Linked DNA regions of Caenorhabditis elegans. The protein of the gene in region 1 purifies or fractionates together with the protein of each later gene. This does not show direct contact. Each region holds a gene or a part of one and is shown in the gene's direction. Other genes may lie near its edges.

Region 1 (17,456 bases):
AGGAAGCTAAGGGATTCCTGACCTACCATCTGATCTCTGACCGAGTCCAGGCGACTTATTTCAACTACAATGGCCTCACGTACCTGGCTGGCATCTGCTACCTGATGAGAAGCATCACCGATGAGATCATCTGTGACATCAATCGCCCGAGAAGCTTCAATCATATCGAGATCTGCCGAAAGGCTTTTGAGCTCACCTGGCTCGAACGTCGCCGTTTCCCTTGTGATGATGTGACTCACACTCAGGAGTCGTACGGTGTGGACTGTCACCGCCTTCGCAGAAGAGTGCTTGTGGGCTTTGACGAGACACATCAGAAAATTGTCCACTTGAACTTCAACAATCGTACCGGAGAGGTCTGGAAAGAGTTCTGCAGCAAGTGCAACAAAATGGAAAGTACCACTTCCATTTTCTTCGGTGAGCTTTTGTATGTGAACCTCTGTAATTTTGTTAAATTTCAGCACTCAAGCTCCGTCTCCCACTGGTCCTTCCACCCCAGATCCCCGATGAGATCCTTGATGAAGCTAACGAAATCGTGCCAAGTAAGTTTCATCATTTCAAGTATAAAGTTTTCATCAAAAATTGCAGGAATCGCCATGGCGGACTCCTTCTCGGATCTCGAGTCAATCGCAGACTCGGCCGTCGCCGAATCAGCACGCGCACCCGGCGAATTGGTGGAGTAAAAGAGTTCAATTTAGTTTCTGCTTGTACTGCAGAGTAATTTTTCTATAATCGCTGGACCTAATATTCTCGCTTTACATTTTTCCACTACCTCTATTTTAATCTTTACATCTTAAAGTCTGTGAACTCTTTTCAATAAACAAAAAGTTACTCGAAGATTCTTGACAGAATGCTTCTCTTCATGGTTTCATAGAAAGCTTATCTAGTCGGTTGGTTCTCCCGCCCGGAACACAAGAACAGCTTTTCTACTTTGTTTTTCAGAGAGCTTATCCTGTATTTTTGCTCAAAGTTAGGGGCTCCCGGGCTTCACCTTCCGACAGGAACCTGGAACTCAGGGACCATTGACATTCAAGCACAAAGACCACCCTGAGCATTATGCACCGGTTCCGGTCTTTGTGCTCGCTTGTCAATGGTCCCTGCGAAAAATCACTTGACTCATCATTATTTTCTTCATGGCAACAGTTGCCTCACCCCCTCACTTCCCTCCTGGCCGGGCTTTCTATCCGTTTTTGCAACTTCAGTTCTCGGAAATCTTTACACTTATTTGTGTTTTCGCCGCTGTGATTGCGAAATTGTTAAATGTGATAAGAGATATTTTCTAAGCAAATATTGGAGCAAACAATTACTCTTTTTTTCGTGGGAGTTAGGTTGAAAACCTTTTAGATATAATTTGGCAGCAGATTATGATAATCTTATACTAGTTATGCCAGTTATAATCCGTTCTCTCGTTTTTTTTTGGACTTTAGCTGACAATGACCTAGGGCCCAAAACCGGCAAATCGGCAAATTGCCGGAATTGAAAATTTCCGGCAAATCGGCAAACTGCCGGAATTGAAAATTTCCAGCAAATCGGCAAATATCCGGAATTGAAGATTTCCAGCAAATCGGCAAATTGCCAGAATTAAAATTTCCGGCAAATTGGCAAATCACCGAAATTAAAAGTTCCCGGCAAATTGGCGCATTGCCGGGATTGAAAATTTCCGGCACTTGCCAAAAATTTTTTGGCAAATTGTGGTTTTGCACTTTTTTTTTGTAATTTCAGAATTTCAATTTCAATCGGCAAAATTGTACGAATTCCACAAATGTTTCTACAGCTATTTTGAAAACAAACAAATTCTATGAAAATATCTAAAGATAACGAGATAAAAATTTCAAAAAGGCACAGTTTTAAGTGTTGCCGTCTTATAAAAAATCCCTCTAAACATTTCCAACAATCGGCAAACCGGCAATGTCTGAATTGAAATTTTCCGACAAATCGGCAAACCGGCAATATGCCGATTTGCCGAACTTATCGAAAAAAAATTTGCCTAACAACAATTGCCGCCCACCAATTGGATCAATCAATTTGACCCAAATTTTCTATATGAGAAAAAGTTTGTTACCTTTGAGAAAATGCAATTCAAAAATAGTTTTTAAAAAATGCCAAAATAGGATTCTGTGCAATTTTTTACTAGTTGATGAAAAAAAATTTTCCCGTCCAGTTATCGGCTTCTACCCAAGTATTGCTTGAATTAGCAACTCTCTCCTCACCCTTAATCCCTGTCTCCAGTGTTAGAATTAGCGCGTTTGTTAATCGTTTTCTCCTTTTCTCATATCAATCTCCTCACTTGTTTCCTTCATCTTCTACTCTTTACGCTCCGATTTCGTAATTCCAATGTGTTTTTAAAACCGGTTTGCCTCGGAGAACTGTCAAAGATATCATCAATCTTCGATGAGATTCGTCACTGTGAATGGCGGGAAAACAGTGACACCGGAAGGTACCGTTCGGTTCCTAGGGCGGACCAATTTGGAGTAGCCAGGTTGTAGAAGATTGATTAAGGCCAGTAAAGAACATTGGGGACCTCAAAAATTACGAGAACCTTCAATAAGCAAACAATACGAACTTCAAGAAGCGTCATATGCATTTCCAAGTGCATTTACATAGTTTTTGGCAAAATCGTTACTAAAATGTGCTGATAATGAGTCAGTTCTGCAAATTGTGACCAATTTTCCGGGAAAAAAACCTTATCACTTTTCAAATACCTCGCGCCAAGTCGTCTGCATTTTCCAAACAAAACTTGCAAACCTTGAAAAAATCCATTTCCGTCGCGCTGCCAATGGCCTCGCTTGTTGATCCACCTGTTCTCTCATCCCCTCCGAAAACTACCTGATTCAAGTTCAAGCGGCGGCCCGGGAGTTCGCAAACGTGTGGTCAGGCAGAGACAACAAGAAAACTTCAAGAGACCGCCGTTTGGAGAGACGCAGAGAAGAAGCGTGGAAGGGCCCCCGCGGCGGTTTCCCCCCATCGCTTCCCTCATTTCATTCTCCCATCTCTCCACATTTTTCCTCATCTTTTTTTTCGCTTTTTTCTAGTCCAGAAGACGTTGAGGCACGACACTTTTTGGTGGTCATTTTCTTGTGTGACGCGGCTGGGCAATCGATTTTTATGCTTCTCTAGGGGCTTTGGAAATGGGCTGAAAGGTCGAAATGTGCTCATTCTCCAGTAGTTCTTCAATCTTTATTTCGCTATCAGTAATTTAACTTTCCTCATAATTTTTCTAGCCCTTCTCGAAAAAAATCTCTCCACTGACAAATTTTTAACATTTTCCATACTTTAATAATCTAATAATAACAACCAATGCTCACTTTCCTTCGCCTAGTACCTCTTTTCAATCAAAAATTGCATTGATGAGTAATTCAAACATGTAGAGCGACGACGGGTGAATAGAAAAGACACACGTTTGCCCCTCTCATACAAACAGGTGATCGTCCTCTACGGGCACCCAAGGGAGACGCAGACGGTGAGGTGATTCTCTAGAACAATTCATTGTCGTTTTTTTTTTGTGGAAGAAAACTGGGTTGCTAGGCTTACAATTAGAATCACTTTTTTTAGAGAGACTCAGCTCTGACGTGAGGATCTTCTAGGTGAAAATTGAAGCGTATAACATTTTTAAAAACCAAATAACCTTTCGAGAACGTGGTGTCAGGCTGTCTCAATACAGTTTGATCTACAAAAAATGCGGGAATTTTTTATGGGAAAAATTGTGACGCACTTCTAGGCGCTTGCCCAGAAATTCCGCACCTTTTTCAGACAAGCTAAGCACTGTAAAATTTAAAATTCTAGACCCAATATACTTTGTTTCCTGAAACATCATCATGTCCCTCCAGTTTTATCGCAACAATGTTGTGATGACGTAGTGGCTTCTTGTTCTTTTTCCATTTTTTTTGAGCCATGTAATTTGAGCAATTATATACGATAGGGGTTCAGCGTTGGAAAGACTAAACTTATTATAGCCACCTAGATTTTTACGCGATCATGGACCTACATCCAACTAACAATATACTTGTTGATCTTTTTCACTGGATTATTCAGATAACAAAGTTCATTTATTTCAAGATTTTATTAGTTTCAACAGGTTTGAGCTATGCCTTCCGCAAAAGCTTTTGTGCAGGCCCAAAAACCCTAGGCCCCTTTCGGCCCCTAAGGTGAACTGTCCTTTATCACCCTACCGGTCATTCACTACCGGCAAAACTCTAGCCAAGTTGGGGTGTGGCCAGAGTTATGGAAAAGTGTTCCTCCTTGAACACTTTTTAGTAGTTTTTTTTATAACAATTCTTCTCGCCAACATTCTCGACTCAAAAGTTATACTACCCTCTCTCTCTCCCTCATAATTTCTATTTTTATCACATTGACGCACTAACTCAAATAGGTGATGACGCAGTGGCTACTCGTTCTTATTTTTATTTACAATACTATATTTTTCGAATAAAACGGGGGCTAATAGTAAGGATTTTCAGCCGAGTAAAGATTTTTGACCCTCACCCCCTTCCACCACCCCCACAATTATAATCCCTTTTTCACTCCCTCTCAACTACCACTTTTTATTCCTTTTCCCCTTCTTCTTCTCATGTTCCGGTCGTTTTCCTCCCTCTTCTTAGAGCATTCAAAAAGTGAGCTTCCGATTGAGATGTTTGTGTATGTGTGTGTGGCGAGGTAGCATGGCAACGGAGCACGCCTGCCATGGAGCCAGGCACCCTCATCTGAAAATTCATAGTTATTTCCATGTGACTCCCGCGATTACGGTCACCGCCACGCCCTGAAAATGTTACTATCGGTTTGCTCAGTTCTTATTTTTTTTTGCTGATAAGAGAGTCTTCTCGCTAACTCACTGTAGAAATTTGTCATTTTTTGTGTTTATAGGGGGCCTCCCGATGGGGTTGAGGGAAGGGGTCTTCCTCGTGCCCCACTGACAACAGAGATAGGTTATATGGTTCAACATTACTTAGATTCAATTTTGGAGGTACAGTTTCCGGCAGGGGGTACACCGTAATCTAGGCAACCTTACTGTTTTGGGGAACTAATTGTAAGGAGTATTTAGCTTCAAAAACTAACTACATATATAAAAGTGCTTGTTAAATTTACTTTGTTTTTTTTTCGGGATTCCCTCATAAATTAAAATGCAAGAGTTTGCCGAACTAGGCCATTTTGGCTCGGCCATATCTGGAACAGATTTACGGCGCGTTGCGTATCGCGTAGCGGCTCGGTTTTAGTTGTAAAAAAATGTACCTGCCCGTATGGTGTACGCGACTTTCCCACGCGTTGTCCGGCAGACGATTGTCAATGGAGCGCAAAACTGCAATGAGGAAATCCAGACCCCTGTGCCTCATAACAGGTACCCTAGTACTAACTAAGGTTCCCTAGTACTAACTTTTCGTCTATCTACCGGGTCATGTGCTCTATCAGAGCCACTTTTTGAACTCCAATGTCTCTTGACACTTATCCGATAGCTTGTGTGGGCTGCCAAGTTTGCTTATGACTATCTTGCTAATGACTACCTTGCTGATGATGAGGAAGAGAGCAGACAAGAGTCGCCTGCAAAGAAAGTTTGCCCCAGAAACTTATGTGAGTACTAACGTTATAAATCTAGGGCCTTACGACTGATTTAGTTTCAGGTGTTGCTCGTAAAAATAAGAAGCTTTGTGTGACCTAGGTCCTCGGTGACTGCGACAAAAATGTTTGTTTGTTTTTTTCTGGATCTTTTTTTTTTCCTTTTTTTTGGAACGAAAAAATTTGCAAAAAAATTTTCCCGTGGTGGAGAGTTGAACTCATCTCGTCTCGAATCTCAAAATTTTTGAACTGATCTATAGTTTCGCCCCAGAGAAGACGACGACTTGAATTCCTGTACACCGCGCATGATCGCCCCGGATCCTCTCCCTTTCTCTTCATACGCATCACGTCATCCGTCCTCAATTCCGATACAACATTGATTTTGTCCGTTTTGCAATTACCTTTTTTGACTGCCAAGCTTAAAAAAAACTATTTTTTTCAGATAAAATGACATCTACCACAATGGTAACCACTCTCGACTTGGTCACACCAACATCAGGTACAATTTTTGTGGGGGGGCATGGTGCATCGATTTACGGCGCAAATCAAACTTGGGGGTTCCAAAATCATGGTGCATCGACTGACTATTGCTAGCTTTAAGTTTCAGCTGTTTTGAGTTAGTGTTTTCCACGTGGAACACAATTTTGACCTAACGTTAAACCCCTCATCCCATACCCCCGACATATCTGCGTCTCCGCGCTTTTCTCCAAGACACGGCCCCGCCGCCGGCAAATCGACGTCGCGTAAGCCACGTGGAAGTTTTTACGGGGAATGCAAATAGTGAGACGACGGCGACGCCTTATTATCAGTAATTCTCTGACCATATGATGTTTTTTATAGGTTTATGGGCATAAGTCATAGATAGGTTGCATAACTTTTTAGATAATTTTGCAGAATAAATGGGCTGTTTGAGCAAAATTACTGTCGTTTTTAGATCAAAACTTACCAAATTTTTACCCAAAACTACTACTGATGTTTATTTTTTGGCTACAAATTGACAAACGTTCGTATAAAACTTGACAACATTAGACGAAAATGGCAAAAAAATAGTTGTTTTCCATCAGTTTTCCATCAAAACATACATACAATAAAAGCAAAGGTTTAGCTGAAATTTTGAGTTTCTAAGGTAAAAACGGCTATTTTTTTGTATTTCTCAAGTTGTCTTGATTAAAGTTCCAAATTCTATTTTAAGCCTCATTCCCAAACTAATTAACCCCTCTCCGCGAGTGCCCAGCCCGGCTCTCTGCTTCTCTGCGTCTCCTGTTGTCGCCTCGAATGGCATGACTCTATTTTTGTTGTGCTTCGTGTGCTCCACGACTCGCGTGACGTCAATGAGCCAAAGAGGGACCCGTTGAGCTGCTCTAGCCAAAATGAGTCAGACGTGTAGCTCAAGGGACCCGGAAAGGCACTTGCGAAATCGCTGCTCTTGCAGAGGGAAGGGGCACCTTAAAAATGAATTTTTTGGGATAAAAATTTTCAAAAAATATTTTGCCGATCAAAAACTGTTTCTGATGAATCACAGCAAAGAGAGACATAGAGAAAACCAGAGTGAAAAATCGCAATATGGCGCCACCAGGCCAATGTGCGCGCGGCAGTAAATACATACACTTGAACTTTTTGTTTTTCTTCGATCCAACGAACTTTTCCCTTTAAACTCCTTTTTTTCAGAAGAACAACCGGGTCCTGCACCGGAGTCCTCCGACTTCTCTACAGTAGTCCTGAGTCCGGATGGGTCGGAGCTTGTGACACAAAGTGCTCCAAACACACCGATACAGCATCGGGAGCAGGCGAACGCGGAGTTCGGACAGAAAGAAGGTAAGTAGAAGTTCGCAAAGGCACTAGGAAAGCGCCAAAACACGAGATCTGCGCCAAAACACTAGAAGTGCGTTAAGGCACTGAAAATGCGTCAGCACTTCTTTGCGCTTTTCTTGTGCCTCGGCGCGGTTATGCTGCCTTTCCTCCTGATTTTCAACAATTGTCCCCTGTCGAGAAATGCGCTAAATCACTTGATCTACGAATAGACAAAAATACGTCAATGCACGATAAATGCGCCAGCAACTTCATTGGCGCTTTTCTCGTGCCTTTGCGCATTCCTCGGCGACGATCCTTTCCCTCGTGTTCTACCATCTCCAAATTTTTTTTGCAAAAAAAACCGCCAAATGTGTATTTTCTCATCCCCACCGCTTCCCGCACACACGTCACTTTTTTCTCTGACATCTCTCTGTACTCTCTCACATTCCCACACTGTCTCTTATCACTTGCCGACTGCATATTGATTCAGCGAAACAATACGCACATTTCCATCAAAATATACTAAAGAAAACGTGATCTTTTTCCACTAAAAATTCAAAATTTTCAGGATCCCCAGATCCCAAAAATATGGTGGCTGCGACCGGGAACGCGTCGAAACCCAGCCTGAACAGCTTCTACGCAGATGGGCTCGGACAGCTTAGGAATGGGCTCTTTTCGTGTTTTCAGCCAGTTTTTGGATATTTCGGGACTAAAACTACAGTTGAAATGTGAGTTTTAAATATTTTTTTTTTGATTGAAAATTCAATTTTCCAGTGAAAAATCCGAGGATGAACTATGGGAGATCCCATTCGACGCTATCTCCGAACTTGAATGGCTGGGCTCCGGGAGCCAGGGAGCAGTGTTTCGTGGTCAGCTGGAAAACCGAACTGTCGCTGTGAAAAAGGTCAATCAACTGAAGGAGACCGAGATCAAGCATCTTCGACATCTCCGTCACCAGAATATCATTGAATTTCTCGGAGTTTGCTCAAAGAGCCCGTGCTACTGTATAGTGATGGAATATTGCTCAAAAGGACAACTATGTACTGTATTGAAGTCAAGAAATACAATAACCCGAGAACTTTTTGCTCAATGGGTTAAGGAAATTGCTGATGGAATGCACTATTTGCATCAGAACAAAGTGATCCACAGGGATCTCAAATCGCCCAATATTCTAATCTCCGCTGAAGATTCAATTAAAATTTGTGATTTTGGAACGTCTCATATGCAAAAGAAAATGGATAGTACTATGATGTCATTCTGTGGAACTGTTAGGTAAGTTGGAACTTGGCTTAGGCTTAGGGTTCTTAAATTTGGCTTGGGCTTAATCTTAGACCTAAGCTTGGTTGTAATGAACTTCAACATTTTCAGCTGGATGGCCCCAGAAATGATAAAAAAACAGCCATGCAACGAAAAAGTCGACGTCTACTCATTTGGAGTTGTGCTCTGGGAGATGCTCACCAGAGAGACGCCATACGCAAATATTGCTCAGATGGCAATCATTTTTGGTGTTGGAACAAAGTGAGTTGTAGTTTGTTCCCTGATTTTCTGTTTTTTTTTCTGAAGATTCAAATAGCCAAATGTCCAGAAAACCATTTTAATAATCCTAAAAACCTTTTAATTTTCAGCATTCTGAGCCTTCCAATGCCAGAAGAAGCTCCGAAAGGTCTTGTACTTCTCATCAAGCAATGTCTATCTCAAAAAGGTCGCAATCGTCCCTCATTCTCCCACATCCGACAACACTGGGAGATCTTCAAGCCGGAACTTTTCGAAATGACTGAAGAGGAGTGGCAGTTGGCATGGGATTCTTACAGAGAGTTCGCGAAATGTATACAGTATCCGTCTACAGTAACCAGGGATCATGGTGGACCGAAAAGCGCATTTGCGATGGAGGAGGAAATACAGAGGAAGCGGCATGAGCAATTGAATCATATTAAGGTTAGAAATATTCTATTAGTTTTTAACTAGGCTTATAGGCTTAAAAGCTAAGTTTAAGCCTAAAGTTAAGCCTAAGACCAAACCTGAAACTAGCCTAATTGTAAACCTAAAACTCCAATTTCTTCCAGGACATCCGAAATATGTACGAGATGAAGCTTAAACGAACCAACAAAATGTATGACAAACTCCAAGGCTGCTTCACAGAGCTGAAACTCAAGGAAAGTGAGCTCGCCGAGTGGGAAAAAGATCTGACTGAACGGGAGCAGTGGCACAATCAGAACAGCCCGAAGGCAGTGGCGGCTCCGCGAGCACAGCTACGTGGATACCCGAATGAGGGATATGATGATATGTCGTCTGACGAAGATGTTCAACCGTGCCGAGGATCTCCGTATAGGTGCTCCAATACGAGCTCCTCGTCAGGAGTTCAGAGCTCTCCGTTCTCAAGGCAAAGCTCGAGCCGGAGCAGTGCTGGACAGCAAACGAGGAGAAGCGAGGGAGCGAATCCGCCAAGTGAGTATATTTTCCCTGAAAAATTGAACATTTAAGCTTTCGACAAAGCTAAAAATCAGGGAAAAATCTTAAAAACTGAAAAAGTTGTGGATTTTCAAAATATTTTCAAAGTTCAACTTATCTAAATTCTAGACCTTTTTCGAAAATTCATAACTTCGTTAGAATTTAAGATTATTCCAAAAAATGTATTACAAAATATAGCAAAGTTAATGAACAACTTGGCAAAAATATTTGATTCACTTATAACTACTTGGCTACATTATCCACGGGATTTCCGCGGGGAGACCTCAATTTTTTGCAAAAAAATCAAGTTTCCAAAAACCTCGACATGATTATACATTTCTAAAAGCTCTTGGTCCCCTCAATTTAAAAAAAATAGAAAAATTTCAGAAATCCTACGCAACGACGCCATACGTCATTCAGGGTCCTACTGGGAGACGCTGGGTGGGGCCCGTGGATCACCGGCCAGGGATTCCGGATTTTCTCAGGATTCCGGGATGTGGAGCGCTGGAGCCGGTAGCTGCACAGCTATTAATGGTGGAGGACAACAGGTGAGGAGGAAATTAATTTTTGGCACAAATATTTCGAAAAATTTCGATTTTTTTAAACTCAAAGTTTATCGATTTTCCTCAAATTTTCCAGGTTTGCTACTCCCAAACTCTGTACCGTAACGGTGACGGTCGCTGGTCGGACGGGCGCATAGCTTCACGTCGGAGGGTCTCCACGTCAGTCAACAAGTCAACTGCAGTCCCCGGACAGCCCGTCTTCTTTACACGTGACAGCCCGTCACGTGTCCCACACGGTGTGATCAGTTGCTCCTCTCGTATGTGCATGCTCTTTCCTTTTTCTGAGTTTTCTAATATTTTTTTTTGCATGGGACTTCTTTATTTTAGTTAGTTCCCACCACAAAGGGGTACTGTAGCTAGAGATCGATTTGGTTTTCCGAAAAAGTTTAAAAGTTTATCTTCATTTTTAGGCAATATTGAGCTGAAAATACCAAAAATTGACAGAGTTATGGATTTTCAAAAATTTTCGGAATTTTAAAAATTAAAAAATTTTTCGGAATTTTTCGAAATTTTTAAAATTTTCTACAGTAACTTTAAACTACCCTTAAAGATCCTAATTTTCGGAAAATTCATAATTTTCATGGAAAATTCAGAGCTTTCATTTGAGTATAATCATGGCTGGTTTTCTAAGTTTTGACCTAAAACTTTAATTTTCGCTTCGAGACCCAAAATGGGCGGAGTCAGGGTTATACGTCTCTAAATGCTCTTTTTTTTTGGAAATTTTTATGTAATAAAAATTAGCTCTAAATATTTGGAAGTTTAGGCAGAAAAGTTAATTTTTTGGAAAAAAAAGATATGCAAAAATATTTCGAAAATTCATAACTCCGACAGTTTTTAAGTTTTCGCAGTAATTTTTGTTTTAAAATTTTGCAAATTTCAAGGTCTTGCCTGGAAAAATATGGTTATGGCCTAGGTTAAAAAATTCTAGACCACCAGCTAGATTTCTAGGCCACACCAGTTTTTGAGGTTGTTTAACTGCATGGTTTTCTGCCCTTTTCTTTAAATTCTAACACTACATTTTTTTCCAATAAACTTCCAACTTACTAAATAAGCTTTAATTTTCAGCCCGTTCAAGCTCAAAGCTCAACCGTTCATCCTATCCATCTCGAAATGCTCCTCACCAGCTCGAAGACGGCTGCTGCTGTGCTCACGCCCGTGCTCCGCGAGCAAAATCAATTGCTGTGCCGATGACGTCATCATCTAGAGCCCGGAGCCCAACTCCATATGACAATGATTTTGAAAATGCCGAGAGCTTCGTGGATCCGGAATCTCCGAAAAATTTGAAAAATTTGGAAAAAATCGTAAACTTGCCAGAGTCCACGTCCTACGACGAGGCTTTATGCAATAGTGATGTGACAATGAACCCGATTTACACGTCACCAATCACCACCTACAGTAACCCGTGCCACGTGGAGCTGGTGGACGAGGAAAACGCAAATGACGTGGATCTGACGTCATCGATGGATTCCCGACGATCCCGCTCCGACGATGCTGATGTTGAATCTTCGGAAGAAGATGAGGGAAATGGAAATAATATTCTGAATACTTCTATGGAATCTGAGGATCTTCGATATCGAATTGACACGTCTCAGAGTACTATGATGAGCTCATTGGAGAGAAGTCTGGAAATTGGAGCCACCCGGTCCGATGGGCTTAGTGATAATGAGATGAGAGTTCAGGCGGTCAAAATGAGCATCAAAACGCACAGGAGAACCGGATCGGTGAGTTTTATTTTACATTGAAATTTAAGTTTGGCTCCGCCCACTTAATGGTTCGTCAAGTTTGGCGAAATACTAGGGAATTCTCCAAAACCTCACGAAATATCGTGTTTCCGGAGTTGAAATTACTTACTTCTAATTTTGCCAAGGACCCGCCCATTTTGGTTTTTAACTCCGCCCACTTCTGGGCCCTATCACGAAATATTAGGGAATACTTGGAAATTTTTCTAAAAATAGCAGAAAATCTAATTTTTTTAACACTAAATTGATTCAAAACTCACAAGTTTTTTTTACACTTTTCGTTAAAATTTCGCAATACTTCTTGACAAGCCAAGAAGTGGGTGGAGCCTAACCCTATTATTGGCGGAACCTAGGCATGATTATACTTAAATCAAAGCTCTTTGCATGCCGAATTCAAATTTTTTAGTGAAAATTATCTGAAATCCAGTTTCCAACAAAATTGTTGGCTGAAAACTAAAAATTTATTAATTTTCCAAAATTCCAGAATCCACAAGCCCTAATCCACCAATGCATCGACGAATACACCACCTCTGCAACAGATGATAGTGACGATGCCGGAGCAGTCCGAATTTAAACCCCGCCCACCAATATTTGTAGTTTTTGTAGTATCCCTTCCTCCACATCTCAATTTGTTCATTCATTCCAGAGCTATTTTTGCCATTTTCAAAGTACTTACAGTAGTCCCTATGTCCCTGTAAACTCTAGTTTTGTAGAACGAATCCCAGTGAACACCGGTTCCTATTTTTGAATATTTTTTGAATATTTTTGAGTAAGAAAATACATATAATTTTTGTGTAAAAATACATATATCGATTATTTTTGTTTATTAGTATTATTATTTTAATATAAAACAATTTTGAAATAATTAAAACAAACAAAAAAAAATCAATAAACCTATTATATTTGGGCTTCTTCGTCGTTGTTGAATCTGAAAAAAAAATTTTGGAAAAAAAAAATTTGGATTTTTTTTCTAAAATAAATAATAAAAAATTTTTAACTTTAAATGTTTACCTCAAGGTACAATAAGCAGGAGGCATATATTGATCGTTTTCTGCGTATTCTGGTGGATTTTCCAACACAATCACTACAGGTAACATTGGCGGCGGAGCCTCTGAGATTTGTGGTAGTTCTGGACCATTCGGCACCTCTTGCGCCGCTTCTGATGTTGGCTTGGGCTCACGGAGCAATTGTTTTTGTTTTTTACACAAGCAGGCTTTTAGGCAGCCTATGAGAGCTGTGGCGATAACCTGGAAATTTTTGTTTGGGGAATTTGTTAATTCCACAAAAAATATTCGAAATTTATATTTCAAAATATATCTTTAGATTTTTAAAACTCCTCGGTTATTGATTTAATTTTCATGAAATTATCAAATCCTTATTTATCTCAGTATTAGCTTTGGTTTAAGTATAATCATGACTAGGATCCGTCAGCTTTGAAAATTGAGCTGGAGCCAATAAGTGGGCGGAACCTAACCTGCGATGGGCGGAGTCAAAACAAGAGGGAAATCAAATCAAAACATTTAAAATGGAATAAACACTTTTCAAGGTGAAAATGAGAATTTTATAACCTACAAAAAAAGGGCGGAGTCTAACCCAGAATTGGGCGAGCCTGGGAATTTACAAACCTAAAAAAAACTTAAAAATTTATTTTTTGGCAATCAAGAATATTGCATTGCTTTTGTTAAAATGAGCGCAGTCTTTGCCATAAATCGTGGCAGGACCAAAAGTGGGCGGAGCTGAAATTGAAAGTGGGCGGAGCCTAATAAGGAAGCTTAAAAATTCAGAACTGTTGATTTTTCGTGTTGACAATTTCCTGGAATTGGGCGGGTGTTATGGCTTAAAATGGGCGGAGCATAAACTCAAAAGGGGCGGAGCCTGGTCATGATTATACCTAAATTAAAGCTCTTGGTTTGCTGAACTCGGATTTAATACTTTTAAAGTTGAGAAATTTTTTTATAAAAAGTTATTGTTTTTTTTAAATAATTTCAACTTTTTAAATTAAAAAAAAATACTTTTTTGTTTCAAAAATCGATTTTTAAATGAAAAAACCCAACTCACCATAACCACTAACATAACCATTGCACCGTCCATCAAATCACAAAACCATCCCTCACATCCAAACCCGGAACTCGAGCCCTTTCGCCGATTGGAGTTTATCAGCAGACCGCTGCCCCCACCCATAAAATTCTGTAATTTTGCGGAATTTTTTGGGATTTTGCCCCAAATTTTTTGAAAAAAAGTAGCATGCAAAACAGACGAAAAATTCTTTTTAAAAAAAGTTTTTTAGAAATTTAAAAATTGGCTGAAAATTGAGCCCAGAAAGCTCAAAAAATGCTCAAAGTATTCCAGAAAAAAAATCGATTTTTTCAGAATTTTCCGCAGAAAAAAGAGGTTGAAAAACGTAAGTTGTCTCTACAACTCTGAGCAGCGATCCCAAAAAAAAGGAAACATTGCTCAAAAATTAATGGAAAAGCTTCTGTGGTCGCTCATGTTAGAGGGAGGGGGTGTTGAGAGACACAGAGAAGGCAGAGAGAATCACTTTTTATTATTTTTTTGAAACATTTTTTGAATTTAGTTTTGTTGATAGCACACGACAGCATTTGCATGTGTTCGGCTTTTTGTCGAATCTAAAATTTTTTTTGAAAACTTTCAATGTTTTAAAAACCTTACTTTAATGATGAATAAGCTGGTGGTCTTTGTGTTTCTTGACTTTCAATATCTTCAGAATTCCCTGAATCCCCGGAGCTCTCAGTGGGCTTCGCCGACAGTGTGGAGGACTTGAAGCATCCGTAGAAGAAGAGAATAATCTGGAATTTGAAATTTTCAGTCAAATTTTGAGTTGAGCTCAAAAATTTTAAGTTTTTTGAACTCGGGAAACTGAGAGATTTCAACAAAAAAGTATAATCATGACAAAGACATGTTTTACGAAATTTGAAGTTTATCGAAAAAAAGATTTTTCGGTCTCGACACGAAAATGGGTCGGAGCCTATTCTTTTCCTTTTTTTTCGTTTTTTCTATACTCAGAACATTAAAATTTTTAGATCTGAAATCATATTTTAAAATTTTGAAATTAAAAAGAAACCTTTTCCAGAGCTTTTTTCCCAAATTCTGAAAATGGGTCCGAAAGGGGCGGAGACTAATCTGATGTGGGCGGAGCCTAACCTGAATTTTACCCAAATTTGAAGCTTTTGCGGCCTTAATGAAATATTACTATTTTGAAGTTGAAATAATGGGTTTTTTAAAAATAACTTTTGAGCATTTTCCATCAAAAACTTAAAGAGGTCTGAAAGGGGCGGAGCCAAATATTGATTTTATTCAATTCACTTTTTTTTCAGACACTTGAAAAAAATTTTCGTCTATTGAAGTTCGAAAATTAACAGTTTCGCAGCTTTTTTAGTTTTGTAGTTTTCTCAAAAACTTTAAAAAATGGGGTCTGAAAGGGGCGGAGCCTAAGCCGGTGCGGGCGGAGTCTAGTTACTCTACTGAAATGAGAGCTCTCAAAAATTATAAAAAATTTTGTAAGTTATTGAAAAAAAAACATTTTAAACTTATAGGAATTAATATATGAATTTTCCAGGTTTTCATTGATTTTTCTCAGAATTTAAGGATTCGGTGTTTGCGTACTTTCCGTGCTACCGTACCCAAACACTCACCGTACAAAAGCTGCCAACCACAACACCAAGGAAGAATATGCCGAACTGTTTAATTTGGAGCCATCCTTCGAATTGTTGCATTTCCAATTTACCAAAAAAATAGTAGAGAAAGAAAATATGGCCTCCTTCTTGCTTTTGGCTTGTGATGGTCTAGTTATTTAGGGTCGATTAGTGTATGAAAATCGAAAGTTTTTTCTTTGGCTGTACAGCAGTGACGACTTGGAGAGAGAGGCAGCAGAATGGTCATCATCACTGGTGATGAGAAACAAGGAATTGGTCAAAAACGAGAATGACGTTATTTGATCTTCATGCGTTATGGTCTTGTTACGTTTTCGGATGGAACGTCGTGAGAAAATCATGTGTGTCGAAGCTGGGAGATTCAGGGGATCTGGAGATCAGGGACCCCACAGGGTTTTACTAGAAGAGATTTCAAGTCTCCCAAATTAATAGGGTTCAAGGTCAGAACTGATTTACACCGTTGAAACAGAAATACATCGAAGACGGCGGGATAAATTCGGAAGTTACTTTCGGTTGAATGTTACATCAGATCATCAGGTCATCAGATCATCAGATCAACAGATCATCAGATCAACAGATCAACAGATCATCAAATCATCAGATCAACAGATCAACAGATCATCAGATCATCAGATCAACAGATCAACAGATCATCAGATCATCAGATTATCAGACCATCAGACCATCAGATCAACAGATCATCAGACCATCAGATGATCAGGTCATCAGATCATCAGATCATCAGATCATCAGATCAACAGATCAACAGATCATCAGATCATGAGATCATCAGACCATCAGACCATCAGATCAACAGATCATCAGACCATCAGATCATGAGATCATCAGATCATCAGATCATCAGATCATCAGTACCAACTGAGCCAGGGAGGATGAGGGAGGCGTAGATCCTCGGTAGCTGTGACTAAATTGTTTTTTTTTGTTTTTTCCGGCGGTAGAAGCCATACAGGCCACACCAGTTGTTCAAACCACACATAATTCACCAAGCCCACAATCCAAACCAATCTTGCCAAACCTAACAGTTTTGTCATGTTTTAAAATGTACCTTTGATACCCAGTGAAGCGTATTTCAGATTGGTTCAAGCTACTCAGATTCCAAGTAGCAATGATATTTAATCTTCATGCGTCATGATTGTTGAACGTTCAGAACAGGAAGCTTTGAGGAACTACAAAGAAGGATGCAGTCTCCAATGATGTCAGTATTGCAGAATTGGTTTTTTCTTGACTTGATAGAAGGTACTCTGATAGATCAGCAAATACAGAAGCTTAGATTCCAAGGGATCTTAGATTTTCTATAGGATATTTTTCAAACAAAAATCCAATTTTCTTTCTAGAATTCACATTTTCCGATTTTGATCTTATTGATTTTGGTTTCACAACATCTCGTCATATTGGGAAACGAATAAAACAAACTTGCACATATAAAAGGAGCCCCCAGCTGGGGATATCCAACCAACTAAAGATGAATCTTCTTCTTATCTTCTTTGCTGCTATGGTTTCCGGTTCCTTTGGCGCATTCTTCCGCAAGACCCTGTCCCTGACTGCCGATCCACCAACTTGTACCGTCCCAGCCACTGGAGGATTTTCGGCCCACAAGCTCGTCAATGGTGGGTGGAGCCGAGAAGCTCGTCTACAAGATCAAGTTATCCAACAACAACGAATACCGCATTTCTTCAGAG
Region 2 (15,396 bases), on another chromosome or scaffold:
TATGCGGCAGTAAAGTTCGTGTTAAAATTCACGTGTTTGAGTTCAAAAGATCAGAACGGCTATTTTTCAATCTTCGATATTTAAAAAATCGTTAAAAATTGTACAATTTATGCCACAAAACTATGGTACCCGGTCTCGACACGACAAACATTTTTAAATATAGAACAAGATATTTTCCTTACCTCTTGAGTAATAACATGGTAGCAATACTCGACAGAAACATCAATTTTTCGATTGAACTTCTTCTCAAAATCTTTTTGAATCTGATCCAATTTTCTTGACTCAACCGCTTTCGCGTAAAGCTTAACATGAAACTTAGTCATGCTTACCAAATGTTTTAGTTCCTGAAAACTGATTTGGTTTTCAGACAGATATGTATTATAGAAAAATTAAGAATGAAAACCGAACAGAGAATGAGAATCTACAAATGTTTTCAAAAATCAATTCAAAGAGCTGATAAGAATTGCAATTTACTGTTTTTATGTGTTTTTCAGTGGTGTCGTTGACATTGTGAAGCATAACAAGGTTGAGAATAGACAGGTAATTGATATTTTTCAGTAGTGATAAGAAAAAATGTTTGCCTGATAGTATTCTAATGTTGCAAAATTTTCAAGAACAAAGTATTTAGTTTTTGGATGTTTCTTGGGCATTTACTATCTGGAAATCATGAAAAAAAAACAAAAGAAGACAAAAGAATGCCAATGGGGGGATGTCTTAAAACTGCAGTACATATTTTAATACCTAACAGTTAAAGAACTTTGTTAAATTTTTTGATTTTCAAGAGAATTATTTTTTCTGTAAAAATTTGTTTGAGTCTATTTTTCAACACTTTTCCGCATTTTCTGTTGTACATATGTATATGAAAAGTTATAAAAAATAAAAGAATGTATGCAATGAATTCCCAACAGTGTTGTAAAGAGAAGTTATGTTTTAGATGTAACAATAATAGTATGAATATATGAATATGAATAATAATATGAATTTATTGCAATAAGTTAATCAATAATATAAGTTAAAACAACAGAAACCCAGGAAATCTTTACATCTTCCGATATGTATCCATACTCAATAACTCGGCAATCTTCTTCTCAACTTCAGGTGTTTTAGTCGTTGAATCTTCAGCTACAGATGGATCTTTCATCTTCATATTGTACCAATCTCCATAATCTTCATCTCCATTACCATTATTATTTCCATTGTTGCCACTGTTTCCATTATTCCAGTTATCACCACCACCGCCATTTCCTCCATTATTGGATTCCCAATTGTTTCCATCATTTCCATTATTATTATTATTGCTACCCCATCCTCCTCCGTTGTTACTGTATCCTCCAGTTCCTCCATTATTATTATTATTATTATTATTGTTATTATTGCTACTAGAAGATCCCCATCCGTCGTTTCTATTGTTATTGCTACCGTATCCATTCTTACTGTATCCTCCTCCAAAGTTATCATTGTCATTATCCTGATTTCCATTTCCATTCCATTTGTTGCTACTGCCATAGTTATCATTGTCTCCCCAGTTTCCACCTCCAGAGCCTCCAGATCCTCCAGTTCCACCATTTCCCCATGATCCTCCAGAATTGCCATTATTGCTTCCCCAGTTATCATTATCAGTATTTCCTCCTCCAGAACCTCCATTTGATCCTGATCCACCATTAGATCCACCCCAATTGTTGCTCAACTCAGATCCATAATTATCTCCTCCATTATTGTTACTTCCCCATTGATCACCACCTTCATTTCCTCCACCTCGATTTCTTCCATAACTATTTCCACTTGGCTTCCATGATCCTTCATTTCCATAATTAGAATCTCCATCATTTCCTCCATTTGAACCACTTCCCGAGGATCCACCCCAATTATCAGAGTTTCCATTGCTGTTTCCAGATCCTTTCCAAGAATTTCCATCGTTGTCATTTGTACCCCATGAATTACCATAGTTATTATTATTATTGTTGTTGCTCTTTCGATTGTTGTTGTTATTATTCCAGCCGTCATTTTCGTTGTCTCCTGAAACAAATTACAGAATTGAAATTTTTCTAAAATAGCGTCAGTAGATTCTTAAACCCATGAACAAGAAAACTGTATAAAGAAAAACAGGCGGTCTATTAGAAAATTAGAAGTGTTTTCTAGCTTAGAAAGATAGGCTTACATTAGGCGACTTGAAAAGAAAGATATATTTTCCGTGTTTCGAGCATTATCATAAGATGTCTAAGCTTGCTCATGAAATATAATGTATCGGAAAAATTGAAAATTCACCATTATTCCAATTAGATCCTCCTCCAGATCCTCCACCACCACCATTGTACCCTCCAGAATTTGATCCCGAATTCCAATTGTCTTGATTATTCCCATTTCCATTATAATCATCTCCATCGTTTCTATTTCCATATTTGTTCATTCGATTGTTTTTAGAGTTGAAATTGTTATTATTGTTCTGATCTCCATTATTCCAATCGTCATTCTCTCCGTCATTCCGAGAAGATCCTCTCCATCCTGAACCGGTTCCTGCTCTATGAGCCGAGGATTGACCTTTTGCAGTGTCGACGCTTCCTGGAATAAGTATGAATGTTTGATTTTAAAATAATATATTTCTTACCATAACTTCCAAAAGTTCTCTTTCCAGTTCTGGTCATTCCACCTACACGATCTCCTGGCAGACTGCTTTGTGATTCAGGGAGCCCTTGATATCCACTGGAACAAGTTTATATATTGCAAACGTTTTCCTTCAAAAAAGTTAAACTCACGATGCATAAGGATTTCCAGTTGAAGCTCCACTTCTGCCTCTTCTTGAAAAAGTCGCACCAGTGTTTGTATATCCCCTTTCAAAAGCTCCCAGTCCAAATTTTTTCTTACTTTTTGCTTTAATTGTAGATACTGCTGGAAATGCGGCGACTACAATTGCTCCTTGGTCGCGGGCAACTTTCGAAAGATCCACAAGAGGTGAACTTTCTGGAAAATGTATAGATTCATTGTAGGCTGATTCATTTGTGCGAATTTTAATTTTTTTTTTTCTGAGATATTTACAGTAACTTGTCATCTTTTGTGGTGGGACCTAAGATGTTATGAGCTGAATTTAAAAAAATTCGGAGGGAACAGTTTAAAAATTGCATAATTGGAAAATGATGTTTCGTTTCAAAAACCGAAACGATTATTCAAAGTTGGCAAGTTTCTCAACAAAATGTTAAAGAAAATATTTGAGAATATTGCAGTTATTTTATGATACTGTTAAAAATTTTTTTTAAAAATGCAAAAGATTAAAAACCAAAGACAAAACCGGTAAACCTACCATTTTTAGCCAACGTCTCTGTAAGGTTGAACTCGCAAAGTACGGAAGCAACAAGAAAAGTGAAATACTTTATGTTCATATCAAAATGTGATATTGAATTGAATGTTTGAATTGCACACATTATATAGCCATGCCAACAAATCGCCCGGATCTCTTCCGGTAGATCAATGCGAATGTGTTTGTTTGTGTTTCGATTTGACAGGATGCCGGAGTCGACAGTGTTTAATAGGTTCAATGAGCATTAAGTGGTTAAGAAACAAGGAAATAGGGATTATTTATTAATTTTAATTTGATTGAAAACATTCTTTCATTATTGGAAGATAGTGAAGACAATGAAGTTTTGATTCATCAAATCGAACTTCCGAATCAGAAGGAGCACATAGATCCACACAATTTGATGGTATACGACTCTGCAAAAAATTTAAAATTTGATGAATAAAACCGATTTATTGGATATGCTGTACTATTACTTTGCTATACGGAAAAAACTAAAGTTTTTAAATAAATTGAATATGTTAGTCAACAATTGTTAATTTGCTGAATAATTGTTAAATTAATTTTCTAAATATCCAAATTTTGGCAAACAAAATTGGCAACTGTGAAAAGGAAATTTCAACAATGTTTCCGACAAATTATTAAAGAACTTTGCAGTTTCAGATAACTTTACAGCTGTACAGAAAACCTTCAAAAATTTTATCTTGAATTATCGAGATAAATTTGTGCGAGTTTCTTGAATCAACTTTTCTATTGAAATAAATACATTTTCGAACGTGCCTGTTCACAGCATTCTGTGTGATCCATATTCATAGATGCACAAAAATGAATAGTTCTAAGTGATGAACTTGGACATCTTCTGGGCTCCGCGAGCAGTCGAAAGATGGAAGATTCATTATAAGTCTCAAATGAGCAGAATCCCATGCATCTCTCCGGAAGTAAATTATCCACACAACATTGTTCCATTTTTAACGAGTACTCGGATTCCTGAATTTTGAAGTGGGATTATTTAATTTTCATGAGATTTTTTTTTGAATATTTTTGAAGAAAAAATCTTGAAGAAGTTGGATTTTTTGAAATTATTCAAAAGCAGATTATTGCCAAAGTTAAACAATAGAGAAACAACAAAACTCCGTAAATTCCGAAAAATATTTTAAATACATATTTCAAAACAGAATTTTCTCATAGTTTCAATAAAACTAGAAAAGAACCTACCTCTTCATTCACATATTTAGTTTTACTTGCCAATGCTCTTCCACCAACACATCTATTCAATCGGCAGATATATCCATTTTGGCAGCTGTTTCTTGTTAGGCATTCTCTATGAATTACTGGTGGTGGAAGATTCAAACTATCAAGACTTGGAGGACACTGAACAAATAAGACTTTTTTAATTTAGTGAACTTTTATAGGAGTCGCGTTGATAAATGAGAAAAAATTCAAAAATATTTTAAAAAATTCAAAACAATTCTATCCCGCTTCATACAGAATATCTTTAAAAAAGAAAACTTACAGCATAGCTTAACGTGATCAAAAGAATAAAACGAGAATAAATCGAAAGAACTAAAGTATTACCAGACACTTTCATTTTAGAATCCAAAACTGTGAAGAATATAATTTATACGAAAGACATGAGAAATCCTGAACAAATAACTGCTAAAGAATAATAAAAAGAAGCGGGACACAAACAAAGAATTATGAAAATAAGAATGGTTATTGTTATATGAATCACTAAATATTTGGGAAAAATCGAAAGTTTTGGAAATCGAGAGTTACGAAATTGCTCGTCATAACCGGAAATGAGACGTCAATTATGTTCATGTGAGGACTGATAACATCAACTCTCACAATGAGACATCCTTTCTGTTGCATTTCTGGAACTTTGTTAAAGAATGATGTTGTAAATGTTTTCTAAAATTGTCATTTTTTACAGTTATTTCAAAACATGATCCACGCTTTGATGGTTATTTATATTGCTTGTGTCTCTATTTGCAAATTGCTAAAATATTTTTTTTGAAAATTTAGATATGTGATTTTATAATTGAAGTTTAAAGGAGGAATAACGCTAGTGCAAAATGCCAAAATACTACAAAATAAAAACAAAACAACTGTATCTAGTTTGATGGAAATTGCTAATTTTGGCACATTTTCAATTGTGATAGATGTTCTCGTTTGAATAATGTTATATATTCGAGGCCGAACAAGGAGGCGAAGACGAGTAGTTTATTATTACATAACTAAGGAATGAATAGAAAGTTAGTATACATAGATAATGAGTTCACGTTACACGATCTTCATATCCACGTTGAGGGTTAGGTACACGTAGATACCCAACAAATTACATTTTTCAAAATTTCGTCTAGTCTCCAATTTTCAAAAAAAAAGGTATCATTTCTGTGTAAACATTTATTTCATGTCTTAAATTCAACAAAAATAATTTTCACTTGAAAATTTGAGCCAAAATGGAGAAACTTCAAGTGCGGCACCAAAAAAATGGGCGAGGGTAAATATTAATGATAACTGTGAATTGACCAAAATTGGAGATTTTTCTAACCTCTGATAATATTTTGCTCTGTCATCTCATTTGGGAGGTTTATCATGAAGTCCCAATTGACCGTATTCCACCTTTAAACTAAGCTTGCTCAGTTTTCAAATTTTCTTTCATCCAGAAACCTGATGTGCGTCATTAGTAGCATGTTTGGCAACCGTAATTTCCAAACCACTATTCTTGATAATAATTTGAATGTAAGAAACCATCATCACACAGATTGCAGTGACATTTATTACACAATCTGTGCGATAGTTTGAAAATTGGTCTTTATAGGTTTTGTGTCTCAGATACATCGTTCCTATCTCAATGTTTCATATATCGCTTTGTTCCTTAAGTACATTTATTTCTAAATTGTTGAACATTTTACATGATAAATTCCATAAAGCAACATAAAACAATCACGTCATTTCTAGATTTTTATTGACAAGTACACTGGAACTAGCATATATTATTGAAAATACTTGTTGTTGCTATTTTAAAATTTTGAATTTCAACAATTTTAACAACAACGATACCTTTGTAGTCTTCTGATCACTCTCCCCCAATGATAACCTGGTCAACGTGATAAACTGCCTTGATTTTTCATACGTCGATTAGAGCGCAACTGCATCGGGTTGTTCCCGCACATGAGGGGGTTTCCCCGCACAGCGCCATGTGATTTTCCGTGGTCACAGAAGAAACGGAATGTCTGTGCCTCTCACCTTCACACACTCTCACTACCTATTGATTTTCGCCTGGCAGCCTAGTGTCCGTTTGTCGGTCTTTTCTCTCGTCACTTTTTGTGTCTCGGTATCAATGTTTGTTTCGATGCGACGCGGGGACGTCCAACGACGCAACGAAGAAGAACCGAAACTTGGTGTCACATTTTTATTTCCCGGCCGACCGCCGTTTTTTTCCTGCTAGCACGTGGTCTTGAGACGAAAACTTTTATCGGTTAGAATACAATAAAATCACTGTGCTTGTCTTGCCGTTTTATTTTTTCAACTTTTCTTTATTTGCTGTGAGGGTTAATAGTCGCGGCGGCGGCGGCGGCGGGCATTTTGGATACAACATTTTTGAAAATTGGGAATCATTTTTGAAATTATCGAAATTTAAATTTGGGAACATCATGTAGTTGTTTCGCAATTTTTCTTCGGAAATAAACTTCCCAAAAGAAAATATGAGCAAGTGATTTAGAAAACCAGGCCTGATACTTTAAATAAACTCCTTGTAGATCTTTCGTCGTGAGACCCACTCGCTAACCACGTTGCGCCTTTAGTACAGTACTACTATTCTTTTTCAATTTTTATTCAAAATTATGCAAATTTCATCATCGATTTTGAACTTTGCTCCGTTAAATTTGTGATAATACAATTTTTCGAACAATTCAAAAAATTTATCAGTAACTTCTTTTTTGTTGGAAAATAGACTATCGAAAAATTCCATAATTTTCTTCTGTCTCTCGGAAACGCTTTCCATTTTATCTTTTGATCACGTGACACACGTTCTATCAGTCTTTCCTTATTGAAGAACAGGTAGCATTGAAATTGTGATAACCTTACGCCCCCTTCGATCATTTTTCGTTCAAATATTTTCGCATTTTTTTCGTCTTTTCATCTCTTTCCCATTTTTCTATCGTTCAAACATCATAATTTTCCCGCTGAAAGTACTGTTTAGTGCACTTAGACTGAAATAAAATAAAAATCAATTTTCAGAAGTATGGGACAAACACTCAGTGAGCCAGTTACTAAAAAAGAGTCGGCGTCATGCGCCAATGAGAATTATTTGGTCGGTAGCAGTTGTATGCAGGGATGGAGAGTTGGTAAGAAAGTTATCAGAGCAAAAATGTGATAAAATAAATTAGGATATTTAGGAATTTAGGATATTGTTAAGCGTTTACTTCCATTTTAAACGTTTGTAATCAAGAAATAACATAGCGAAATTAATTTGTTTTAATGTTTAGTCTAAATTAAAAAAAAAAATCAGCGAATATTAGTCCCTTTCTCTTCAGACAGAACTCCTTAGCTCATTTTCATCATTTTCATCATTTTTAGGTACTTAGCGACTTGAAAATCCATTAGCTTCACTATCTTCAAAAATGATAATTAGTTCAATAAATTGTTCTAAATGTTCTTTTTTTTCAGACATGGAAGATGCCCATACACATCTCCTTTCTCTTCCTGATGATCCAAAATGTGCATTCTTTGCTGTCTACGATGGACACGGTGGATCGAAAGTTTCACAATATTCCGGAATTAATCTTCACAAAAAAGTCGTCGCACAGAAGGAATTTTCCGAGGGAAATATGAAAGAAGCAATCGAAAAAGGATTCCTAGAATTGGATCAACAGATGAGAGTTGATGAAGAGACAAAGGATGATGTTAGTGGAACGACAGCAGTTGTTGTATTGATAAAGGAGGGAGATGTTTATTGTGGTAAGAGACACGGATTTGCACTTTGACCTTGAAACGTCAATGGAAGGAAATTGAGGAAATGTTAAAGACACTGAGTATTTTTCAAAAAAATCACAATACTAAGACTAACAGTTTTCAGTAAAAATCGATAAAAAATTAACTTCCAAGCTTCGAATTTTGCAGTATTAGAATTCATATTGTTCGAAATTTTATTAGATTTTGAACTTTCACGGTATTACAAAAGTTATCTTTAAAAAAGGAGAAAAATTATTGGTACAGAAAATAAAAACACATTTCCATATTTTTTCAAAAATTTTAATTTTTGATTACGCACACATTTGTGATAACTGTGTATCATAAAGTTGTAAAAATCGTACGCTGATTTTTTAATACTTCTGAGTGGGTCCCACCACGATCTCAGCCACAGTAATCCCTACAAGCTTCAAACTTCACAGATTTGTTTATGTGACATAGAAAAAAACGTTGAAATTAAATATTTATTTAAACTGTATAGGGAAGACCAGGATTTAATATTTTTAAATGTCAATTTTTAATTTTTCTCCATTTTTCAGGAAACGCCGGTGACTCTCGTGCAGTATCCTCAGTTGTTGGAGAAGCTCGTCCACTTTCATTCGATCACAAGCCATCTCATGAAACCGAAGCTCGACGTATCATTGCCGCCGGTGGATGGGTTGAGTTCAATCGTGTCAATGGTAATTTGGCACTTTCCCGTGCTCTCGGAGATTTTGCATTCAAAAATTGTGACACAAAGCCTGCTGAGGAGCAAATTGTCACTGGTGAGAATAATTTGAAATTAAAAATTAAAAAAAGTTCTTTAATTTCAGCATTCCCGGATGTGATCACTGACAAGCTGACACCGGATCACGAGTTTATTGTTCTTGCATGTGATGGTATTTGGGATGTAATGACAAATCAGGAAGTCGTAGATTTTGTTCGTGAGAAGCTTGCTGAGAAGAGGGATCCACAATCGGTAAGTTGATTAAAATAAAGTAAATATCTCGTATTCTCTCTCATTTTCAGATTTGCGAAGAGCTTCTCACTCGGTGCTTGGCTCCAGATTGTCAGATGGGTGGTCTCGGATGCGATAATATGACTGTAAGTTTGATTTTTTCAAAAATAAATTTTTAAACACTTTATCAGCTTTATTTTATGTTTTGAAATATAAATATACAGTAAATTCAAACTTCGAAATTTTCATAAGTTTTCGTTAAAACTTTTAATGAGAAACTAAACTGGAACAAAAAAATTTGAAACACTTAAATTTTAACAAATTGTAAGATAATCAATAAAAATCTTTGAAGATTCCAAATCAGCCAAATTTAAAAAAAAACTACAGTAATTTGCAAGATCTTTAGACTATGGTAGTTGAAATCGTGGTGAGACCTACTAAGAAAAACGGCATGTGACTTTAAATTAAAATGTTGAATTTTAACGAAATATACACATTTAAAAAATTTAATATTTATTTTTCAGGTTGTTCTCGTGGGACTTCTTCATGGACAATCCCCAGATACACTTTTCACGAAATGTGCCCGCCCAGCGGTATTTACGGGTGTTGTGAGTTTTTTTTTGAAAATTATTTCTGCTTCTTCCTCTTTTTTTCATTTTTTCAGTAGTTAGTATCACATAAATTTATAGAATTAAACTAGTTTCTCAAAAAGAACACCTTTTTAGAATAGTTGTGCTTCTTCTTCTAAATACTAACCAAATGAATGAATATCTGTGTAAATCAGAAATTCGACGAACAAAACGATGTGTTTCTTTTTGAAGAATAACGAGGATGGAGATCAAAATCAAATTCAGCAAGATATTTCGCGTGTGATAAACAACTTTGATGGAGGTTTTAGTTGAAAAAGCTTCGCGAATTCTCAAAAATTAAATATTCAAATTTCAGAACAACGGGTAAACGCTGCGAATCAAGAAGAAGAGGAGGATGACAATGAACCAGCGCCAGCCAACTTCCAAGTTTAGAAAATTCGCAAAATTTCGGAGTAATATTTGGTGTGTAAATATCGAATATTAAATAACACGATTTCCCCCTGTGATAGTGCTGAATTTACTTTTTTATCTTGCATTGCTTTTGGTTTTTTATATTGCTCAATTATCATGTTTCACAAAAAATTTTCTTCACAAAACAAAAACCACCCAAAATTTAATATTCCTTATAGAGCACGTTAACAATATAATTTTTCTTGCTTTTTATAGCATTTTACTTTCTTTGTTCTTCCCCCATTCTTCATTCACAGATTTTCCGGTTGAAATACCTTTCGAATAATTTCAAAAAAATTTAAATGCCAAAATCTCTCTAGAATTGTAATGAATTGATTGCAGTGAGTTATCTGGAAAAAATTCAGGAATTTCACTACATGAAAAGTTGTCCTCTATTGTTCATCCCGCCAACTTTTGCATATCCCTTTTTCAAATTTTATTTTTTGTCTTATTCCTACTCTCCCATTTTTAATATGATTTTTTATCAGCCGTCCACTTTCCATGACGCGTCTTTGTTTCCCAAGCATTGAAAGTGTGAGATGACTCGTTTTATACTGAAATACTCGAAATATTAGTGCTTCAATGTGTATTAGACAATTGTATTTTCTTCTTTTTGTCTCTTTTCACATTTTTTTGTTCTTCCCATTGATTTTATGATTATGATTAAAAAAATTTATGATTGAATGTTATTCAATTTTTCCTACAAAATAAAAAAGGCAATAACTTTCGACGGTGCAATTGGAAGAAACATGGAAGATCTGAAAATAGGTTATTTTGTGTGATTGCAAAACATTGTAAGACAATGTATGGAAATTTTCGTAAAAATGAAGATCTGGGAGCTACAGTATTATTTTAAAGGCGCACACCTTTCTGTAGGCGCTTCGAAAATTGTTAAGTTACATTCACCGTACCACTGAACTTACCAAACACCGTGTGACTTCATTTAGTTTTTCAAGACAGTTATCAGAAGCCTCATTCCTCCTTGAAATTCCAAGAAAGGCGACGTAATGATCTCCAAAAATGGAAGAGGCATAATTGTCTCTTTAACATTACATGTTTCAGCTTATAGTTAGTGCAAGCTACTGAAAATATTCAAGAAACCCGACCAAGTCAATTTCATTAAATCATACAAAAGTGCCATTCACAGTTCAATCTAAGCTTGAATAGTTGATCCACCACACGGAGTTGCTTCAAGGCACACATTGACATCACTTTTGTTCTTTTTATTAGCCTGAATACGGCAAGCCTTTGAGCTCTTTGCAGAATGATTCGACGAACGGCTTGATCTACGAGAAGATCTCATTGACTGCTTCTCCGGTTGCTTTTCAGTTCCACAGATGTAGTTGGAAAACCAGCATCCTTTGTTCAATTGACGACGTTTGTACTCCTCAACAAATCCCATCATTGAACCAATTGGAACAGCAGTGGAGACATCTGAAATCGAAAGATTTTAATTAGTTTGAACCAAAGCATCAATCTGTACCTCTTTCGATGTTGACTGCAGTTGTAGTGTCCAATTCTTCCACGTCAACCGGATAATCAGTCGACTCGATACACGTGGCATATCCTGGCAAGTTGATGACTGTCTGGGGAGCCGAGAACTGATCCGTGAACTTGACAGACAATGAGAATGCCTCTTGCTCCTTAGTTCCTGCAGTTTTCTTCTGATCAATGAACTGCTTGAGGCTCTTCGCATAGATCGGCAACACGTATCCTTTGATCAAAAGATTCATCTTGTCCCATTGGGAGAGCTTTGATGAGTTCACACGGAACTGGATGGCACGATGAGCCAATGGTGGAAAACGGAAAACTTCCGTTGGGAAGGTGACGGCTTCATTCGTAGCATGCAACTTCAGCAGGAAGTCCTTGCCAGTGGTGTTGCGGAACACAAAGTTCCGTTGAACGATCTCGCGGCCAGTGGAGATGTGCAATTCCGTTGGGTTTGACTTCTTTTGACTGAAATTTTGAAATTTTAGAATTTATAGTTCATTTGCAATGAGCACAGAATGCATCAGTGGGCACAATAAACCCGAACCATCGAAGACAGGGCACAATGCCTAAATTACGAAAACGATAATTCGTAAGGGGCACATTCTGCCTGATTTCGTTGGCGTGCCTCCATAATGTCAATTCTATGAGGTTCTTGATGAACACATCAGGAATTAACTGCGTTGGTAAAAATCTTAACTCACCAGGGCATCTTATTAGTTGATGAGCAGAAGAACGGGCGGTCCGAGTTGCTTTTCAAGTTTCGAAAATCGAGAATAATTGATTTGCATATTGATTGATTGTCTGATAACAAATCGACGACATTGACCTTTGTTAGTGTTTTAAAAGTTAGTTTTTTTTAACGTGAAATTTTTTTTCTGTTTTATGGAGAAGTTGTTTATTTTTTGTATTACACGGATTTTTGCACCAGAAATACGGTACTCGGCCTCGACACGAAAAATTTTTTTGACATGCGTCCATATAATACAATTTCTCTGAACTGCCGTTCATTGTTTTTAGGTCAACTTGTATAATGTTGGCATACCAACTCAATACACCATATTCCACGAGCAAATTTAGTTTGCGTTGGCGTCGTCATTACTATTCCGAAAGAAAGAAAGAGTTTGACTCTTCGTCCAGTCCAATTGTTTCAGGGAATTGTAAAGTGCAACTAATTAGGGGTACTTTGCATTTTGCTCCAGCAACACGAAACATGTTCTACACGTGCAGAACACCCTATGACGCATACATAAAACACATTACAATCTGCAGACGTTTTTTCAAGTTTTGAGCTTTTTCTCTCTATATAAATACTCTATACATTATTCTCGTAAGCATATTTTTGTGCAGATTGGAATGAAAACTTCATTTAATTCAATTAAAAGCTCAACATATAATTATCGCCAAGTGTCGAAACGTTGTTTTCTTTGTCTCTAAACTATAGTAGCCAGTCTCGACACGACAAATTTTGGTTAAGTTACAAAGATCAAAGAACCATTTTTACCAGAACGGTGTTTTTTAAATAAAACATATTTCCACAACTAATTTTCAAATTTCGATTCAAAATTCGCCGAATCCTTCTCCAAACTGAACAAAACAAACCAAGTTTTGAAATGTTCCAGATTTTCAGAATTTCCATACCAAAACACTCATGTTTGTCTGAAAAAATGAAACGAGGAATCATCCGAATAAACGTCACCATTCCCAAGTGTCGCCGAAAAAAAACTTTTCGTTTTTTTTTTTTGTCCGTCCATCCATCTAGGACCTATTGATTCTCGTTTTTTTCTCGAGGAGCTCGGGAGCACAGCAATGCTATAGTTGCTCGCCCCCACTCACTCCCCTCTCTCTCCGCACTTGCTCTAAAAAGGAGAACCACACACGGGGGAGAGTCAGGCGGCTTGAATCGATTTGAAGTCGTCGTCCCCAACGTCCAAAATATTCTGCGTCTCGTACGATGAGCAACGACGATAAGAGAGAAAGAAATGGCTCATGAAAAGAAGAAGCTTCTCTCTCTCTCTTTCTTTTTCGGTCTTCTTTTTCTTCTTTCTACTGAAATGTCGATGGGGCTCCTCCGACGATGCTGATGGAGCAAAGGCACGTTGTTTCTCCCCCTACGCTTTCGCTCACTATTTCTTCTTATTTTTCTTCTTCCTCTTACGTCCAATCTTCCTTCCAAATACATGTATATCCGCTGTCTAGAATTTCGCCTTTTTATAGTTTTTTGCAGGTTATGATCTCATTTTTATTTTTTATTCTAGTTAAGTACGGCATTTGAAAGTATGACATCATGCGTGATAAGGTCAATTCTAGTTTACCTGGAATGTCATTTATAGAAGCTCTATTATCAGTTGAAAAAGACAATGATAACTAAAAACAACAACTTTTAAATTAAAAGAACAAAAGTTGATAGAAATGCTCAATTTTTGATTCGGCAATTCTGGAAAATGCCGTATTATCAGAAAAATTGTCAACAGGAATAGAGCAAGAGTTGTAGATTTTTATAAATTAGGACAAAGCTGAATTTTACTGCTATAAAGAAACATTATGGTAGAGGTTTCTTATTCGTTAATGTGTCCTAAATTTTTTGTCACAACAAATTTGAACGAGATAATTGTAAAATTTATATTGTCTGTCGCTGCAATTTATTTGTTGAAATCAAATTATATTTTCAACAATAACCTAGAAACGCGAAAAGACCATTATTTAATTTATCAATTTATCAAGCTTTTTACTGAACAACATGTTCAAATTTTGAGAAAGTTAATGGATTTATGTTAATAGTTAATGTTAATGACTACAATTTAAAAAAGTACATGCACTTTAATTTCCCATTCATGTTTAATGTCTTTCCATTAGGTTTCACAACGATCCCTATTCCGAGCTGATTACATTTTCAACGTGAATGCTCTCTATTCGTTACCAAAATTGGATTTTCTAACGCTTTTTTGATGAGTAGTGTGAAATTGAATTCAACTAAAACCTAAACATGCACTCAAGCTTAAAAATTAAAGGTACAAAATCAATCATCTGCCTAATTTTCAACTTAAGGCTTGTAAAAACTATTTTTCGCAACTTTTCGCCAAACTAGGTAAACTTGGTCTGAAATACATTTTTTGGGTCCACGCCATTTTTAGAGCTTGCAAAAGTCATCTTCCAATTCTCAACTTATAATAAATCAACCCATCGAGAAAACCTCGTGGTGTCTAAATGACGTTTGTGACTGACATGACTCTAAAAAACAAGAATATGTAAAATGGTCCGTCACATTTTTCATAGCCTATTTTCTGGGACTATGAAAATAAAAATTATGGTTTGCTCAATGTTTTTTGAAAATTCAATGTTTTTTTCGAAAGTTCAATTGAAGGTATTGTCAGTGGAGTTTTTGTATTGAAAAAGTTTTCGGACTACACCAAGAATTATGATGTGTGAAAACTGAACAATTTCCAGCTGGATGCCAAAAAGTTTTGGAGGATCTAGTAGGTACGCACAAAGAATTTTTGCGCCTTCAGGCAGGCTTTGTCATATTCAATCTTCAAGTGCATCCCTTAACCAGTAAAGTTACCGCATTTTCTTACAGCATTTTCTCTATCAAACTTGCACCCTTCTAGCTCCACGTTGACAGTTTGTCAAAAACTTATAATTGACAAAAATTTTTACAAAATATT

Evidence for each region.
Region 2: the proteins of dlk-1 (region 1) and ppm-2 purify together in Caenorhabditis elegans (affinity purification with western blotting, with the first as the bait; one study listed by BioGRID). This does not show direct contact.

Annotation. Positions count from the first base shown.
Region 1 is NC_003279.8:12,561,332-12,578,787, reverse strand, and holds dlk-1 (Mitogen-activated protein kinase kinase kinase dlk-1), read left to right. Parts: upstream 1-5,986; 5' UTR 5,987-5,991; coding exon 5,992-6,043; intron 6,044-7,212; coding exon 7,213-7,359; intron 7,360-7,903; coding exon 7,904-8,063; intron 8,064-8,109; coding exon 8,110-8,607; intron 8,608-8,703; coding exon 8,704-8,853; intron 8,854-8,960; coding exon 8,961-9,270; intron 9,271-9,398; coding exon 9,399-9,780; coding exon of another isoform or gene 9,781-9,815; intron 9,816-10,170; coding exon 10,171-10,331; intron 10,332-10,422; coding exon 10,423-10,603; intron 10,604-11,411; coding exon 11,412-12,067; intron 12,068-12,569; coding exon 12,570-12,659; 3' UTR 12,660-12,982; downstream 12,983-17,456. Other genes in the region: F33E2.10 (DUF4817 domain-containing protein), read left to right, coding at 1-414, 459-539, 586-680; mec-19 (uncharacterized protein), read right to left, coding at 12,983-13,013, 13,097-13,332, 14,144-14,266; C49G9.2 (uncharacterized protein), read right to left, coding at 14,631-14,712, 14,756-14,892, 15,739-15,819; ssp-37 (MSP domain-containing protein), read left to right, coding at 17,240-17,384, 17,455-17,456. UniProt on the Caenorhabditis elegans protein: Component of a MAP kinase pathway that functions presynaptically to regulate synaptic architecture and presynaptic differentiation. Phosphorylates and activates mkk-4. Has a role in axonal regrowth following injury and synaptogenesis.
Region 2 is NC_003281.10:4,642,960-4,658,355, forward strand, and holds ppm-2 (putative protein phosphatase 2C T23F11.1), read left to right. Parts: upstream 1-7,534; 5' UTR 7,535-7,538; coding exon 7,539-7,641; intron 7,642-7,963; coding exon 7,964-8,254; intron 8,255-8,805; coding exon 8,806-9,030; intron 9,031-9,078; coding exon 9,079-9,224; intron 9,225-9,274; coding exon 9,275-9,349; intron 9,350-9,727; coding exon 9,728-9,811; intron 9,812-10,024; coding exon 10,025-10,094; intron 10,095-10,148; coding exon 10,149-10,225; 3' UTR 10,226-10,927; downstream 10,928-15,396. Other genes in the region: pfas-1 (putative phosphoribosylformylglycinamidine synthase), read right to left, coding at 183-323; pqn-29 (Prion-like-(Q/N-rich)-domain-bearing protein), read right to left, coding at 1,040-2,016, 2,266-2,559, 2,606-2,700, 2,754-2,958, 3,296-3,374; dbd-10 (DB domain-containing protein), read right to left, coding at 3,580-3,705, 4,070-4,276, 4,505-4,660, 4,803-4,877; T23F11.2 (Major sperm protein), read right to left, coding at 11,397-11,677, 11,727-12,199, 12,436-12,443.